Tamandua tetradactyla: one gene and its partner. The protein of the gene in region 1 interacts with the protein of each later gene in a pairwise test. Links are inferred from orthologs where the notes say so. Each region holds a gene or a part of one and is shown in the gene's direction. Other genes may lie near its edges. The genes, in order: APOA1 and APOC1.

Region 1 (7,929 bases):
CCAGCGAGCCTACTAAGTGTGCCATCTTGCGACCACATTTTTTAAAAGAAATCATTGCTTTGTATTGTAGTAACCAATATGCGCAGTATATGTTGAATGTATATGAATATACTTTCCTATTTCTGTTATTTTAAAATGTCAGAAGTATTTTTTCTCATTTATGTTGAACTAAAAGAGGATTAAAAAAAAAAAACCCTCCAGACCCAAGTTGCAGTAAGACCTTTCATCCTTTTTTTGTGGGGCACTTACAACTCAATAACTTAGTTGGACAGTAAAGGATTGTGAAAATAAAATCCTGATTATGATCTTATGTTGCTCTATTATTTGCCTTGTGGTTCGGAGCCTAGTTGGGAGAAGCATCCAGGTGGGTGGAAGGTAGATACACTGGAAACTTAAGAGGTCAAGGGTGGAGTTGGAGTGATTCATTCTCTCACCCGGCCTTGTGAAACTAGCATTTCTGTAGATGCCTGAACTCAGCTTCATACTGTCCCTCCAGGCACCCTGCTTGGACTCTGTCCCCTCTTAAGGGAGCAGTTGCATTTCCTGCATTTGATGGTAAACAGGGTCCTTGAGAGAGTGCTTTTGAAGGTGTAGCCTCTTCAAAGAGTTGTCCCAGGCTGGGGCTTTTACGAGATGACTCCAATCCGAGTAGTGATACAATAGCCAAATAAGTATTGGAATAGAAAGGGGACTTTTCCTATTGTTTTCCCTCACCTGGACCCTGAAGGTCAGAGTAGAATTTCCTGGGAGGGCCCAGGCAGGGCTAAGAGAGCTGACTGAAGGGCCTCAAGGTGAAAACATTACTGAAGCCAGAAATACTGAGTTTGTAGAAAGAGGGATGAGAAAAGGGGACTTACATCAGCGTTCAATAGTGTGAACTAGAAAGAAGCCACGGGGCCATTTAGAACAGAAAAGACCTTTTGCAATACGGGCCTCAAGATAACAATTTTAGAAATCCTTTGAGTCCTGTACACTCATTTAAGATTAGGTATCTTTAAAATCACCAACAGTGATAGACCCAAATGCCTTCTAAAATCTTGAAACAACCTTTTGCAATATGTGGCACTCCCTCCAGGGTGCCTTCGGGCTAGAGGTAGAATGAGCTTGGAGAGGAAACAGCTATCTCCTGGATAAATAAGAGATCTCTGAGCTTGAGAAAATAGAAGCCATTCTGGCAGATCCTTCCTTTTCTTTCCGACTCTATGTCAGCTTCCACCCAACCCCAACTGCAAGGATCAAGAATTCAGAGGACTGGTGTGTCTCCTGAGGGGTGAGACCCCTGTTCTTGCCACTCACAGATGAGCTCTGCCTTTACCTTAGTCTCCTGAGCAGGAGAGCAGGACAGAATCGGGCAGCAGCTTGGTTACAATGACCTGCCCTAAGGCTTAACTGGGGGCTCTCTTTTCTCTCACCAGGAGCTGCAATAAAATTGCTAAAAGGAAAACTGGGGTGGGGGTGGAGGGAAATACTGTCTGCTCTGCTCAACCAGAACCTCCTCCCCACCCTCACCTCGCCCCTCAGCATCACATCTCAGTACGTACCATGTGCTCTTGGATTATACCAAGCCAAGAGTGCTCCAGAATTTCCAGAGGCTCTTCTTAAGGCCCATGCCTCCAAATGACTCCTTATCTCTCGCTGACCCTTCCTTTCGTATGTCAGTCTCATTCATTGAGCAACTATTTATTGAGTGTCTACTATGTGCCAGGTCTAGCAGGGGACAGAGTCCTTCCAATGCAGACAGACCTGCTGGAACATACGTTGTGAAAGATCAACTTGTTACCCAAATGAGTCGCTGATGGTTTACTTCCAGCACTCCCAGGCCTGTCAGGGGCTCCTGGACCTGCCACTTAGTGACCCACTGCAGAGATGGTTACTCTGGAGACTCGTAGGACAAGGGGAGGAGGGTGCTGGGAATAATGACCTACACTTGTGGGCGCTCCACAGCCTACACTGGTTGGGCCCTCGGAATCAGAGTCTGTGATGAGCCAGGTTAGTTTTTCCATAAGGCCTCTGTCCAAAAAGACTTCCTTTTCAAAATATTAGGAACAAGGGGATTGGGCTAATTTAAATGTCTTTCAATGAAATGGAGGGGACACACTAGTGAATACGTATATTTTAAAAGGAACTTTCCTGCTTGGAAAGATGCTGTCAAGCAGCACCCCCTACCCCAACCCAGGGAACTGAGAAGTTCCTGAACAGAGGACAAGGGTGTAGGAGTCCAGCCCTGCTGCTGGTAGTCCTCAGGCAACACTCAACAGCTGTAAGCCAGGTCCCTGAGTCCCAGTCGTGCCAACACCAAATACTAAAGGCTGTAGGACACAAGTGAGACACTTAGCAGCTCTAAGCTGTGCTTTAATCCCTGGCAAAACAACAATGATAAAATCTGCTCTGGAGCCTGACAGGCACATAGTAAGTTAGCTGCGAAAGTGCTTTGGCCACTAAAGAATAGTGCAAATGTATTAGGTTTAGTTAAAATAATCATTCAGTAACAAACCAAAGAGAAGAGTAAAACAGTGGCAAGTGGCTTTGGCGTCCAGCTTTTAGCTTCTGAGATCCCCCACATGCTGGCTGGGACAAGCTCTAACCCCAAAGGAAGGAGCCTCTCTTGGACCAGGGCATCTGGGAGCTGCCCCAGAAGGCACCAGCCTCTTTCCCACTCAACACACAGGTGGAAAAAGCTGGGATAGCCAAGAGGTGGCCTGGATGGGCTGTTCACTTCCCTCTCTGCACAGTTCCACAGACCTCTGGGCCTGGGTAGATATCCTATATCCCAGCAGCTGGGAGTCAGGGGCACACAGAGAAATATGGGACTCCCGCCTTCCCTTGCTTCTGCTGCCAGAAGCCAACACAAACATGCATTGTGATGATGCCATGAACCAGTGATTGCATACTTTGGATGGTTTCTATGGTATGTGACTATATCTCAATAAAACTGCATTTAAAAAAAAGAAAGATGGAGACCTACAGTCTGACAATGCAGATGTGTTCATGGGAGCAAGGGAACAGAATGCCAGAGACTGGGATTGTGGGACATAGAATAGCTCCCGTTTGCTGAGTGCTAGGTACCCTTCTAACACTTTCGCATACATGTTGTATTCATGTTCTATTGCTCCTTAACAAAATGCCATAAACTTAGTGGCTCAAAACGATATGAATGTGTGATCTGACAGCTCTGGATCACAAAAGCCCAAAATGCATCTCACCAGGCTAAAATCAAGGTGGCAATAGGGATGCCCCCCTTCGAGGCACTAGGGAAGAATCCTCCTCGCCTTCTCCAGCTTCTAGAGGCTGCCCAGGTTCTTGGGCTTGGGGCCCAGCTCCAGCAATTGCATCACTGCAACCTCTGTTTGCATGGTCACATGATCTCCTCCGCCTTTCCCTCTCCTCTCTCTCTCCTGTATATTTAAGGATACTTGTGATTACAGTGGGCCCACCTGGATAATCTCCCCATCTCAGGGTCCTTGACCTAGTTACACCTGCAAACTTGCTTTTGCTATGTGAGGTGATGCATTCACAAAATTAAGACAAGGGCATCTTGGGGGTGCAGGGAGCATTATTCTGCCTACCCCCCATGTCCCTCTTATAGCCCTGGGAGAGGCACATTCTATCATTATCTTCATTTAACAGATAAGAAACTGAGACACAGGGAGCTTATGTAACTTGCCTGAGATCATACAACTTACAAGTGATAAAGCTGAGACTCCAACCTAAGTTTATCTGGCTCCAAAGCTGCCTTCTCTGAGATGAGTAACCAGAGACCAGCTAGCTAGAGTCCACAGGAGACCTGGCAGCCAGCCTCTCCAGAATCCAGCAGCAGGGGCACCATCTGGGTTTTAGAGTATCAGGGAGTTTCCTGAGCAGAGGGCACATGGCACATTTCTGCCCTGGGTCCTAAGTCCAGAGACCTGGGTTCTAGGTCCAGCCCCACCTCTAACTTCCTGAGGGACATTGGGCAAGTTCCTTCTGGTCTCATCTGTATAATGGTGCGGTCTGGGGGAGGCTGGGAAAAGTGGAGCTCAAAGTTTCTTTCAGCTTGGCCATTCCCGGGTTCAATGATTCAGGTCCTGTCAATGAGGGGGTGTCGGGGGTCCTGGGCCTTCCAGGAGAAACCTTACAAAGTGGTGGGGCCAGCCCCGGCACATGCAGCGCCCGCAGTTCTCCAGCAGCCTGAGAAACTGGGTTTTCTTGTCCCTCTTTCACAGAAAGGCAGCTGAGACTCGGGGAGAGAACACAACTGGCTCAACATCTTCCAGACAGTTGGAGGCAAAATGAAGTAACAAACCAGGTCTCCCACCACCTCCTAGCCCGGGGTCCTGCCTCCACACCCTTAGGCTGGTGTCCAGTGTCACCTGCGTGTGCTGTGAAAATATGCACAATGCACAGAGGCTTCCATTAAGATATAGGTATTCAATTTAAGTAAGCGTCCTTATTCTGAGTTGATGCCTTTTTTTGATGTTAAAAAACCTTTCCTTTTTTTTCTTTTTTGAAGAGATGGTTGTGGAAGATGGTGGGGGTTTTTTTTGGTCTGGGCGGGAGGCAGGGCACGGGGTGTATATGGTATCATTACATGTCAAGATTAAAAGTTGGCAACTCCATGTTGGCTTCTAGAATTTGACCTGAAATGTTAGCAGCCTCTGAAATCCTAAAGTCTGGGAACCACTGAGCCATTCCATGTCCCCCCAGCTGACTCTCCAGGGCCTCAGGTGCATAGGTTTGGGAGGTTTGTGGATGGGTCGGAGAAAGCAAAGGGTTGTGCAGGGGCTGTGCGACTCGAGGTGAGGCAGTGCTTGGGGGAGGAATGTCTGCTGCCTTTGTAGGGGATGGGGACGGGGGAGGAACAGCGGTGGAGTGTGGGACGATCTCCCCTGGACACAAGGGGAGGGAGGTGGGTGGGGGTGGAGGTGGGGGACCCGGTGGAAGAGGAGTGAAGTCTGCGGCCAGCTGCTCTTTTCTCTCTTGCCCCCTCTCCCCCGCTGTGCTGGGACAATCAACAATGGTAGTGCACAGCCCGCTCCAATCCCCGCTGGAGGGGATGGGGGTAGGTGCAGCCCACCCAGAGCCTGGCTATCGACAAGCCTGCACGCACACCCCTGCACACCCCCTCCTGAATCCTTGATCCCTTGGCCTTGCAGCCCCCGCAGCTTCCTGTTTGCCCACTCTATTTGCCCAGCCCCAGGACAGAGCTGATCCTTGAACTCTAAGTTCCACATCGCCAGGAACAGTGTGCAGCCACAGCACCCAGGCTGGGCTTATCAGCCTCCCAGCCCAGCCCCTGCCTTGAGACATAAATAGGTCCAGGAGGAGAACTGGCTGCTCAGAGACTGCTGGAGGGTTCCAGGTAAGTGCCGCTGCCCCCCTCCAAGGAACACTGGCTCCCACCCACCCCACCCCACCCCCCAGCTCTAGGCACTTAAGGCCTTGGCTCTGGGATGCTGGCTCCAGACTCTGCCCCATGCTGGGGCCCTGGGTACCCAGGTCTTCCCCCACTTCTTGTCCCTCCTCCCGTCTTGGTGGAGTGAGCTGGGGCGTCCAGGGCTCCCTCTGCTAGAGGCCGGCCTCTGCCCAGCCAGGCCCCTCTTCTCCTGCAGGCCACCCACGTCCCTTCAAGATGAAAGCCGTGGTGCTGACCCTGACCGTGCTGTTCCTGACGGGTAGGTGCCCCCAAGCTCGGGGACCCCTCAACCACCAGGGGGGCCCTGCCCCCTCAACCCTGTGTTCCCCGGGGGGCAGAAAAGACAATTTCTCACTAACTCCTGCACCGGCCATCCCATCTCCCTGGCCTCCAAGCCTGGCATTGCAGTTCAGATCCCATCCCAGGGTGCAGGCCTGAGCCGGGTCCCCCCCACCCCTTCCCACCCCCAGGGAGCCAGGCTCGGCACTTCTGGCAGCAAGATGACCCCCAGGACCCTTGGGACCGAATCAAGGATTTTATGACCATCTACCTGGATGCAGTCAAAGACAGCAGCAGAGAATATGTGGCCCAATTTGAGTCCTCAGCCCTGGGAAAACAGCTGAAGTAAGGACCCAGCCTTGGGGTTTGGGGTCGGGGCTACTGGTCCCCAGGGAGCAGAGAGCCTGGAGGAGGATGCTGGAGCCAGGCTGGGCGAGTCCCCACCTGCTAGCTGATGAGCTAGGAGGCCCCGTAGAAACAGGAGTGGGATCCCCAGGCATGGTCACCAGCTGTCCAGCAGACAGAACAGATACTGGCCAGTTAGTAATCACAGCCCTGCCTCCCGCCTGCTAGTCAGCAAGCCCCTTCCCCTCTGTACGGCCTCTTCTGCTCCTGCCTAGCCACAGCTGTCTTTGAAAGAGAGGAGGCTTGACATACAGAAGTGTGGTTCTTAAAGGCCCAGCACTGGGGACTGGCAAGACTGAACTCCAATCCCAACTCTGTCTCTCACTCAGTAGCCCTGGCTGGGTCCCTGCGCTGCTCTGTGCCTGGGTCCCTCGTACAATGGGGCATGGGGCGGGGGGAAGGGGAGCTGGGGGAGGTCGGGGAGCTGGGGGAGCTGGGAAGAGTTAGGTGGAGAGCCTGGCCCTCAGTGACTGCACAATCAGGGACACATACAGCCCAGATCTCAACACAGGGAAACTGGGGTGCTGGGCCTCCAGCTCCTGGGGAGTCCAGGGTCCCTGGGAGGTCACTCCTCGGCCCCTCTCTGCCCCTTCAGTATGAAACTCCTGGACAACTGGGACACCTTGAGCAGCAGCGCCACCAAGCTGAGGGAGCAGCTGGGCCCCTTGACCCAGCAGTTCTGGGATAACCTGGAAAAGGACACAGCCGGGCTGAGGCAGGAGATGACCAAGGACCTGACGGAGATAAAGCAGAAGGTGCAGCCCTACCTGGACGAGTTCCAGACCAAGTTGCAGGAGAGGATGGAGCAATACCGCCAGAAGGTGGCGCCGCTGACCAAGGAGTTCGGGGACTCGGCGCGCCAAAAGTTGCAGGAGCTGCAGGAGAAGGTGAACCCGCTGGCGGAGGAGCTGCGCGAAAACGTCCGCAGCTACGTGGAAACGCTGCGCTCGCAGCTGGCCCCGCACAGCGATGAGCTGCGCCAGCGACTGGCCGCCCGGCTCCAGGCGCTCAAGGAGGACGGCGGCAGCAGTCTGGCCGAGTACCACGCTAAGGTCTCCGAGCAGCTGAAGGTGCTGGGCGAGAAGGCCAAGCCCGCTTTCGAGGACTTTCACCAGGGCATCCTGCCCGTGTTGGAGACCTTCAAGGCTAGCTTCCTGACCGCCCTGGATGAGGTCACCAAGAAACTGAACCCCAGCTGAGGCCACGGGACCCCTTCCTGGCCCTGGGGCCCAAGCATCAGACCCAAGGGTGGCCCTCTCCTGGGCTTCTGCTTTCCATCTTTCAATTTCATAGAATAAAAGTTTCCAAAGTGGGACACAACTTCTTTGCCTGGGGTGCTGGGTGCTGGAGGGGACGTCTAGGGGAGCCGGCCTGGGGCTCGGCCAGGGGTGGGGGGCTCCTAGGTTGGTTTGCGAGGGGAAGCCTGTCAACCCTACGCCCGGATGGAGCCTCTTGAGGGCCAGGTGGGGGGACCTGCTGAACCTGGCTGGGTGGGCCTTGGGTTGGGAGTAGGGTAGTCAAGCCCCACTCCCAACGGGGCCCAAAGAAAGGAGATAATAGCGGACCAGGCAAACAACAGGTAACCCAATGCCAACTGTCCCAGTAATTGAGTCCTGCAGCCCTGTCTGAGGAAGGTCAGGGAACCAGGTTGGGTTTTCCGGGAGAACTGGGTTCCTTGTCTCCACAGGTGTTCCCTTAGGGGAGCTAGACAGGTGGAGGTGTTCACGGGACAGATGACAGGAGCCTCTTCCTGCCCTCTGGCTCTAAGGGACACAGCATGGGGCCCCAGGGAGTCATTAGAACTTGGGGGATATGGGCAGGCTCAAATGAAGAGCTTGGAGCGTGTCCCTTAC
Region 2 (7,461 bases), on another chromosome or scaffold:
AAGTTGAAGCTTAAAAGGGGAAAGCAGAACAAGGAATGCAGTGTTGACGTTTAGCAAGCACAGTTGGGACACAGATGGAACTTGGGCGCAGTGAGTGGAATTTGAACCCAGGGAGAGGAAGATGCCACCTAAATGTGGACAAGGAGATGGGAGAAGACAATGGGGAATCACATGGACAATGGAGAGGCAGTTTGGTAACGTGTTTGGATTAGGTCATAATAGATAATGGAGGTGGGCGGGTGGGCACGGCCTTTCAAGGCTGGGGATGGGACTGACGAGTCTCTCTCTCTCCCTAGACTGGCTGATCACAGGAAGATGAAGATTCTGTGGGCTGTGTTGGTGGTCACACTCCTGGCAGGTATGGTGACCTGGTGGGATGGGGGCCGGCGGGCTTGCTTAGGTTCCCCCTCCTCCTCCCATACTTACCTTTACTCCTGCCCCCTTCAGGCCCTGGGCTCCCCCACCCCCACCCTTCTTTCAACAGTCTTTCGCTCGAGAGCAGGCCTGAGTCTCAGGCCTCTTTGCTATTCTTTGGTTCTGGGCCTCAGTTTCCCCATCCCTAAAATGGAAACAACAATTTCTAGCACATAGTTTGAGCTGTGATTCTGTTTGTTCTCCATCCCTACACCCCTCTCCCCACACCCCCTGGCATGGCCCTGCGTGGGGCCTGCAAAGACAGTTATACGTGCTTGGCAAGTGATGAGACACACGGGGTCCCCCCTCCACTGCTCCAAAGAAGTCCATGAGGACTTGCGGAGCAGCCACTGGGTTCCAGGCACCTGGTGGAGGGGCCAGAGGGAGCAAGAGGGCTTTGACCAGGCTGTGAACTTGCTCCTCACAGGATGCCAGGCCGATACAGAGCTGGAGCTGGAGGTACCGCTGGGGCAGGAGCAGCCCAGCAAGCCCTGGGAGCTAGCCCTGAGACGCATCTGGGAGTACTTGCGCTGGGTGCAGACAATGACTGACGAGGTGCAGGACGAACTCCGCAGCACCCAGGTCAACAAGGAGCTGACGTGAGTGCCTGCCTGGGCGCCGGACCCTCCTGATGGGAGGCTCCCTGGGGACTCTCACGTCTGGGTTTCTCTCTCTTCCTGTAACCAACTCTTGAGGTTGCTGGATTCTGTCCATTTCTTGCTTGCCTCCGTCTCTAACTCCTGGCTTGACTCCTGTAGTGTAGTATCTCCCGCTCTGCCTTTCCCCCCTTCGTTTTTTGGGGGGTTCTCTGCCTGCCACTTTCTTGCCCAGCCCCAGCGGGGGTCTTTCTCCCCATTTCTCTCTCTCCACCCTGACTCTCCATCCTCTCCTGCCTGCCCTCTTGGCCCACAGGACACTGATAGAAGAGACCATGAAGGAGGTGAGGGCTTACAAGTCCGAGCTGGATGACCAGCTGGGGCCCGTGGCCGAGGAGACTCGGGCGCGCCTGTCCAAGGAGCTGCAGGCGGCACAGGACCGGCTCGCGTCGGACATGGAGGACCTGCGCGGCCGCCTGGAGCAATACCGCAACGAGGTCAAGGTCATGCTGGGCCAGAACACCGACGAACTGCGCACCCGCCTCTCCTCCCACCTGCGCAAGATGCGCAAGCGGCTGCTCCGCGACGCCCAGGACCTGCAGAAGCGCCTGGCCGTGTACCGCGCGGGGGCCCAGGAGGGCGCCGAGCGCAGCGTGGGCACCATCCGCGAGCGCCTCTGGCCGCTGCTGCAACAGGGCCGCCTGCGGGCCGCCACCGTGAGCAGCCTGGTGGGCCAGCCCCTGCGAGAGCGCGCGCAGAGGCTGCGCGGGCGGCTGGAGGAGATGGGCGCCCAGGCCCGCGACCGCCTGGAGGAGGTGCGCGAGCAGATGGAGGAGGTGCGCGCCCAGGCCCACGACCGCCTGGAGGAGGTGCGCGCCCAGGCCCACGACCGCCTGGAGGAGGTGCGCGCCAAGGTGGAGGAGCAGGCCGAGCAGATACGCCTGCAGGCCGAGGCCTTCCAGGACCGCCTCAGAGGTTGGTTCGAGCCAGTGATGCAAGACATGCAGCGCCAGTGGGCGGAGTTCGTGGAAAAGGTGAAGGCGGCCGTGGGCACCGCCCCCACCACTATCCCCACCACCGCGCCCCCCTCCCTGCCCAGCGAGAATCAGTGAGCGCCCAGGCGCTGTGCCCACCCCGCCCCACTCCTGCCTCATGGCTCTGTCTGCCCCTCAGCCAGCTGGGAGCCCTGGCTCTGCCCCCACTGCTCTCCTTGGGGGCCCCAATCTAATAAAGATTCATGGAGTTTCACAGCAGTCTCCAGGCATGCAGTCGTGATTTCTCACAGCCTGAGCCTCGGTTTCTCTTTCCTTCCCCACCACACTGGCCTTGGGGTGCCCCATCCTGGCGCTTCTGCCTGGCTGACTCCATGTGTGTGTCCCTGCTTCTCTCCATTCTCCCTTTTTCTTATCTTGGCCTCCGTTTTGTTTCTGTCTCCAAAACATGAGTTCTGGAATAAAGCCAGCTTTGGGCTGTTAAATCCTGCTGTTAACTCAGACCATCTGAGTGATGTTGAGCAGTGGGGGTGGAGGACTCCCTTTCCCCATAAAAAACAACACCTGTGTCCCCATAATAAACAACACCTGCCTCCTACACTCATGAATCAAAATGCCCCGAGACCAGTGCCATCTTATTACTGTTATCCACTCTCGATTCTCCCTCTCCGTCCAGCCTTATCTGATTCTGCCTCCTTCCCTTCCCTGGCCTCTGGGCCTCTGTCTTGCTCTCCCTGAGAGCTGGTTTCCTGTTTTCCTCCACCTCTATCTTTTATCTCTCCCTCGTAGGGTTTCGTTTCCCCCTTGCCCTCCTTCATCCTCCTCATCGATGTTAGGCGAACCTGCTTTTCCTCTAAGCAAGACCCTCTGTCACTCCTGCCCAGCTGCCTTGCCCTCCCCCTACCTTCATTCTGTCCCTCTCCTCCAGTCCTGTTGTCTGCCTCTTATATCTCCCAGCTATCAACCTTGGGGGAGAAGGGCGAGGTGGCCTTGCTCTGGGTGGGCCTATGCCAGGCCTCCTGGAGACTCCGTGGAGGTCGGGGCCAGGGAGACACAGTTGGAAGTTGGCAGGGTTGGCCAGTGGCGGAGGTGGGGGGGCAGGGGGGTGGGGATGAAGCGCCTGGGAGCTGCTGGCACTTTCCCTCTGCCACCCCCTCAGTTCTCAGCTGAGGAGAGTCAGGCTTCCACGGGCATGGGCCCAGGCTTGAACGTGTGTCTCCCAGGCCAGGCCTGAGCTTCTCCAAGTCCTTGTGCTGACTGCAGATCCTGGCCAGCCTTAAGCACCTATGTGGAGGAGGGTTCCCTGCCCCCCACCCCCTGAGATGACCCACAGGGTTGAGGGAGGAGGAGGAGGGTCAGTGACTCCTAGGTGGGTTGGCCCGGGTGCTGCTGCTTCAGCCTCCCCAGATATCAACCAGGTGTGCAGGGGTGGGGAGAGGGGCGTACATTGGCATGTCTCCCAACTTCAGTTGAATCTTTTAAATTTTTTTAATTGAGGTGCACATCACCTAACACTATGAACTAATAAATGGTTCCATTGAACAGCTGAATCTTGAATTCTCATATATATCTTAGGACCCCTAAGACTGCTAAAAATTTCTGGACGAGGAAGAAATCTCAGCACAGGGGCAGGGGTGCCCCTTCAGCACAGCCTCAGCCAGCTCTAGGGGGCGGAACAAGAGCCGGTGAAGGGGGTTTGGGGAGCAGAGGTGGCAGTGGGTGCCATGGGGTAGGAGTGGGGGACTGGCCGCAGAAGGGAAGCAGAGATGGGGAGCAAAGACACTCCGCCCTTTAACCCCTCCCTGACCTGATGGATGTTCCTTGGGTGTCCCTCAGTTTCCTCATTTGTAAAATAGAACTGCTGGTAGCTGAGTTGGGGGCTGTTTGTCATTCTATTCTTGGGAGCGGGGAGCAGGGCTGGGCAGCAGACGTCTGGGAAGGTGGCCCGGGCGCGCACACTGGAAGCGCTGAGCTGGCCAGACCAGGGGCTGTCGCAATCCCGCCAGGGCGGCCTCTGTGCAGCCCTTTCACAACCACCCCCCAAGGCCAGGCCTCCACATGTGGTTGCGGGATTAGGGCACAAGACAAACCAACTGTCAGGGGGCAAGGGAGGTCAGAGGCAGCCCAGCCCCCAGGCCAGCCGAGGAGGAGGAGACTGCCTCTAGCCCTGGGGGGCAGATGTGGAGGTGGCAGGGAGGAGGGTCAGGGGTCGGGATCCATGCAAGGATGTCCAAGTGCACCTAGGAGTGCTGCCTGGGAGAGCGCAGAGGAGCAGGTGGAGTGTTTACAGGGGAGGGGGTTAGGGGGACTGGGCTTTGGTGGAATGGATGGGGGGAGGGCATACATTGGAAGCCTTGAAGCTTAAGTTTTGGAGTTTTAACAGGCTGTAGAGACACCTCCCCACCCCATTCCCCCCAAAAAGGGAGATTGAGGGCAGTGAAGTTAAGACCCCAGAGAGCGTTGGTAGAAGTGTAAGTCCTTCCCAGGTGCAGGAGAAGGGGGAGCTTGAAGGAGGCGGGAGGTGACTTGGGGGTTTGGAGTGTGGGGCTGTAGCTGGAGACATGCAGGGGCACAGGAGGAAGAATTGTGTGATTCCAGGAGACTAGCTCTGGAGGGGGTATGTGTGTGTGGAAACAGGGGCCTGGGGACATAGAGTGTGAACTGGGGGGCTGAGCCCCCCGGACCCACCCAGGGTTACTGAGGAACCCCCGGAAATGGGTAGCAAGCAGGAGACCCCTGAGGGAAGAGAGCCACAAGAAGTGAGGGCTGTTTCCAAAGGAGAGGAAGGCCTGTGACAGTCTGAAGACCTCCTGCCCCCCCACCCCCCAGCCGGGGAAATTAGGGGGTGAGAGTGCCAAACAGCAAGGGGCTTCCAGCCTCCAGGACACACCTGGGTCCCCTCTGAGCCCCCAAACCGCGAACAGCCAGGGGCAGAGAGAGGAAAAGGCGGGTGGGTACGAGGAGGCAGGAGGCCAGGGGGTGGCTCAGGGGGCGGGAGACCAGCCTGACCCGCCCCCTTCCCAGCTGATAAAGGCCCTGGGCGGGCCAGGATTTCCCACCCCTGCTGTCCTACATCAGATTCAGGTTAGTGCTCAGAGCCCGGGACGGGACCCCACCCCCAAAAGCGCAAGAAAGGGAGGGGTGGGGATGAATGGGGAGGCAGGAGGGAGGTCATGATCGCCCCCGCCCCGCTCCGCCTGCAGAGTGCCCCTCCGGCCCCGCCATGAGGCTTCTCCTGTCGCTCCCGGTCCTGGTGGTGGCTCTGTGGATGGTGTTGGAAGGTAAACGCAGAACTGGAGGATTTGAGAGTTGGGGGTTTGGAAGCGTGCAGCTGGGCACAGGCCAACTTGGGGCACCCCTGAGAACTCTGGGACCCCTTTTGCTCCCCTGACCCCTAAGAGTCCATGGCGTGCCCACCCTCCAGTGCCAGGTGGGTCTCAAGCCTCTCCCGGGAGCGGCCCAGCAGGCAGCGAATAGGCTCAGAAAAGCCCTAGCAACCGATGACGTAACGCTCCCCTCCCCCAGGGATTGGCTGGCCCGCTTCTGCTGCCTGGGAGGTGGCGAGGGGTGGCAGAGTCAAGCAATCCCTGACAACTTGAGCCCCATCTGGTCGCTCTAGTACCCCCGTTTCTCACCCCCATGAACCCCTAGAATCACATTCAAGGATGACCTTCCCCATCCCTGGAATCCTATCGTAAGGCTTCCCGGTACTGAAATGTTCGCACGCCCCGCCCCTCCATCCTCTGAGCAGGCCCAGCCCCCGCCCAGGCGGCACCCAGCATCCACAGGACCTTGGAGAGCCTCCCCGACAAGCTGAAGGAGCTTGGACAGACCCTGGAAGACAAGTCCCGGGCAGCCATTGAACACATCAAAAACAGCGACATTCCAGCCAAGACCCGGTGGGGACCCTGCCCCAGGCAGGAGAGGGCTGGGGTGTCTCTGGGGGAAGCCTGAAGGAGAAGCCCAGGTCCTCCCCCTTTTACAGATGAGGAAAACAGAGGCCCAGAGATAGTCGACCATATCCCCGTGTTCCCGCAGCCAGCTAGGGCTGCTCAGACTGGGTAGCCAGGTCCCTTAACTCGCAACCTGGGCACATTGCAGAGATGGTCCTGGGTGATGGTGAAGGGCCCAGCCTGGGAGTCTGATGGAACTGCCGTCGACCCCTTATGCCCTGCATGATCCTGGGAGAGGGGCTTCACCCTGGAGCCTCAGTTTCCTCATCTGTAAAATGGCTTTTATTGGAGAGAAGTAACCTGGAGGACCTGCAGAGGGCTTGGCACGTTGGAAAATGTTCAGTAGGTTCTGACATGTTATCCATTTGGTGCTGCCAGGATAGAGAATTGTTCATTGGGAACAATCATTGACTGAGCATTTGCTAAATGCCAGCAATTGTTCCAATGTGGGGACTAAGACAATAGTGAGCAAGGTAAAGTTCCAGCCCTGAGGGAGCTGACATTCTAGGTGGGATAAAACAAACTATAAACCAGCCAACCATCCAGGAGATTAGTGCAGAAAGAGCCCAGTACCATAAACAGACAGGCTGGTGGCCAAAGACTTGGAGGGGTTGGAAAAGGGTTGGTGGCATTTAAATTGAGATCAGAATGGTTAGGAAAGTCCATCCAGGTAGAAACTCCATAAGAATGTCCCTCAATGGAGGTAAGTGCAAAGGCCCTCAGGCAGGAGGATCTGTAGATATGCAAGGTTAAATTTGCCAGGAACGACTTCTGGAGAGGGTGGCCTTTGACACAAAGAAAACAGCCTGGGCAAAGGTCGAGAGGCCAGAAAGAGCCCTTGGAGGAGGAGGGAGCTAGGGCAAGAGTAGGCTTGGAAAAAAGGCAGGTGGTGGGAGATTGAAGACCTCAAAAGCCAGGCCAGGGTGAAGTGTTCCAACTTCAAGGGGCTCTGGTCCATCTGGGAAACTGAGGCAAGGGGCCATATTCACCCAGTGCTGTACTCCTGCTAAGCCCACAGACCAGTGGGGAACTCAGCTCTTTTCTTGGGGAAGAGGGGATAAGGTGCAGGGAAATCAGGAAGACAAATAGGGGGTAGGGCGGGGATTTGTTCATCCTGGCAGGAGGTGTGATGGCACCCAAGGACCCTTCCTCCATGTCTCCCAACAGGGACTGGTTTACAGACACATTAAAAAAGATGAAGGAGAAATTCAAAATTGCCTTCTCCTGATCACCCGGAGGGTCGTCTTGCTCTTCTGTGTCCTTAGCCAAAGGAGAGGCCTCTGAAATTTCCCACATCCTGGACCCTGCCCTGAGGACTCCCTCCACAATGACTCATGTCTCCTTAAACATTAATAAAGTCCTATAAGAGTCCACCTGAGTGCTTCTCTGTGGGACAGGGGCTGCGGGACAGGGTATGGGCTGTGCCTTCGGGAAAGAGTTACAGGAACTCAGACCAAATGAGCATTTTCCACTTGCCCGATGCTAAGGATTGTTGCTCTAATGTCA

What was found.
Region 2: the proteins of APOA1 (region 1) and APOC1 interact in a two-hybrid assay, tested with the Homo sapiens proteins (2 studies listed by BioGRID, with this or other methods). The link is inferred for Tamandua tetradactyla from reciprocal best matches to the Homo sapiens genes APOA1 and APOC1.

What each region holds. Positions count from the first base shown.
Region 1 is NC_135334.1:23,995,353-24,003,281, forward strand, and holds APOA1 (apolipoprotein A-I), read left to right. Parts: upstream 1-5,191; 5' UTR 5,192-5,338; intron 5,339-5,588; 5' UTR 5,589-5,608; coding exon 5,609-5,651; intron 5,652-5,862; coding exon 5,863-6,016; intron 6,017-6,671; coding exon 6,672-7,275; 3' UTR 7,276-7,396; downstream 7,397-7,929. UniProt on the Homo sapiens protein: Participates in the reverse transport of cholesterol from tissues to the liver for excretion by promoting cholesterol efflux from tissues and by acting as a cofactor for the lecithin cholesterol acyltransferase (LCAT).
Region 2 is NC_135342.1:18,177,043-18,184,503, reverse strand, and holds APOC1 (apolipoprotein C-I), read left to right. Parts: upstream 1-4,203; 5' UTR 4,204-4,277; intron 4,278-5,029; exon of another isoform or gene 5,030-5,086; intron 5,087-5,205; 5' UTR 5,206-5,225; coding exon 5,226-5,283; intron 5,284-5,753; coding exon 5,754-5,901; intron 5,902-7,122; coding exon 7,123-7,183; 3' UTR 7,184-7,326; downstream 7,327-7,461. Other genes in the region: APOE (apolipoprotein E), read left to right, coding at 297-358, 842-1,013, 1,327-2,122. UniProt on the Homo sapiens protein: Inhibitor of lipoprotein binding to the low density lipoprotein (LDL) receptor, LDL receptor-related protein, and very low density lipoprotein (VLDL) receptor.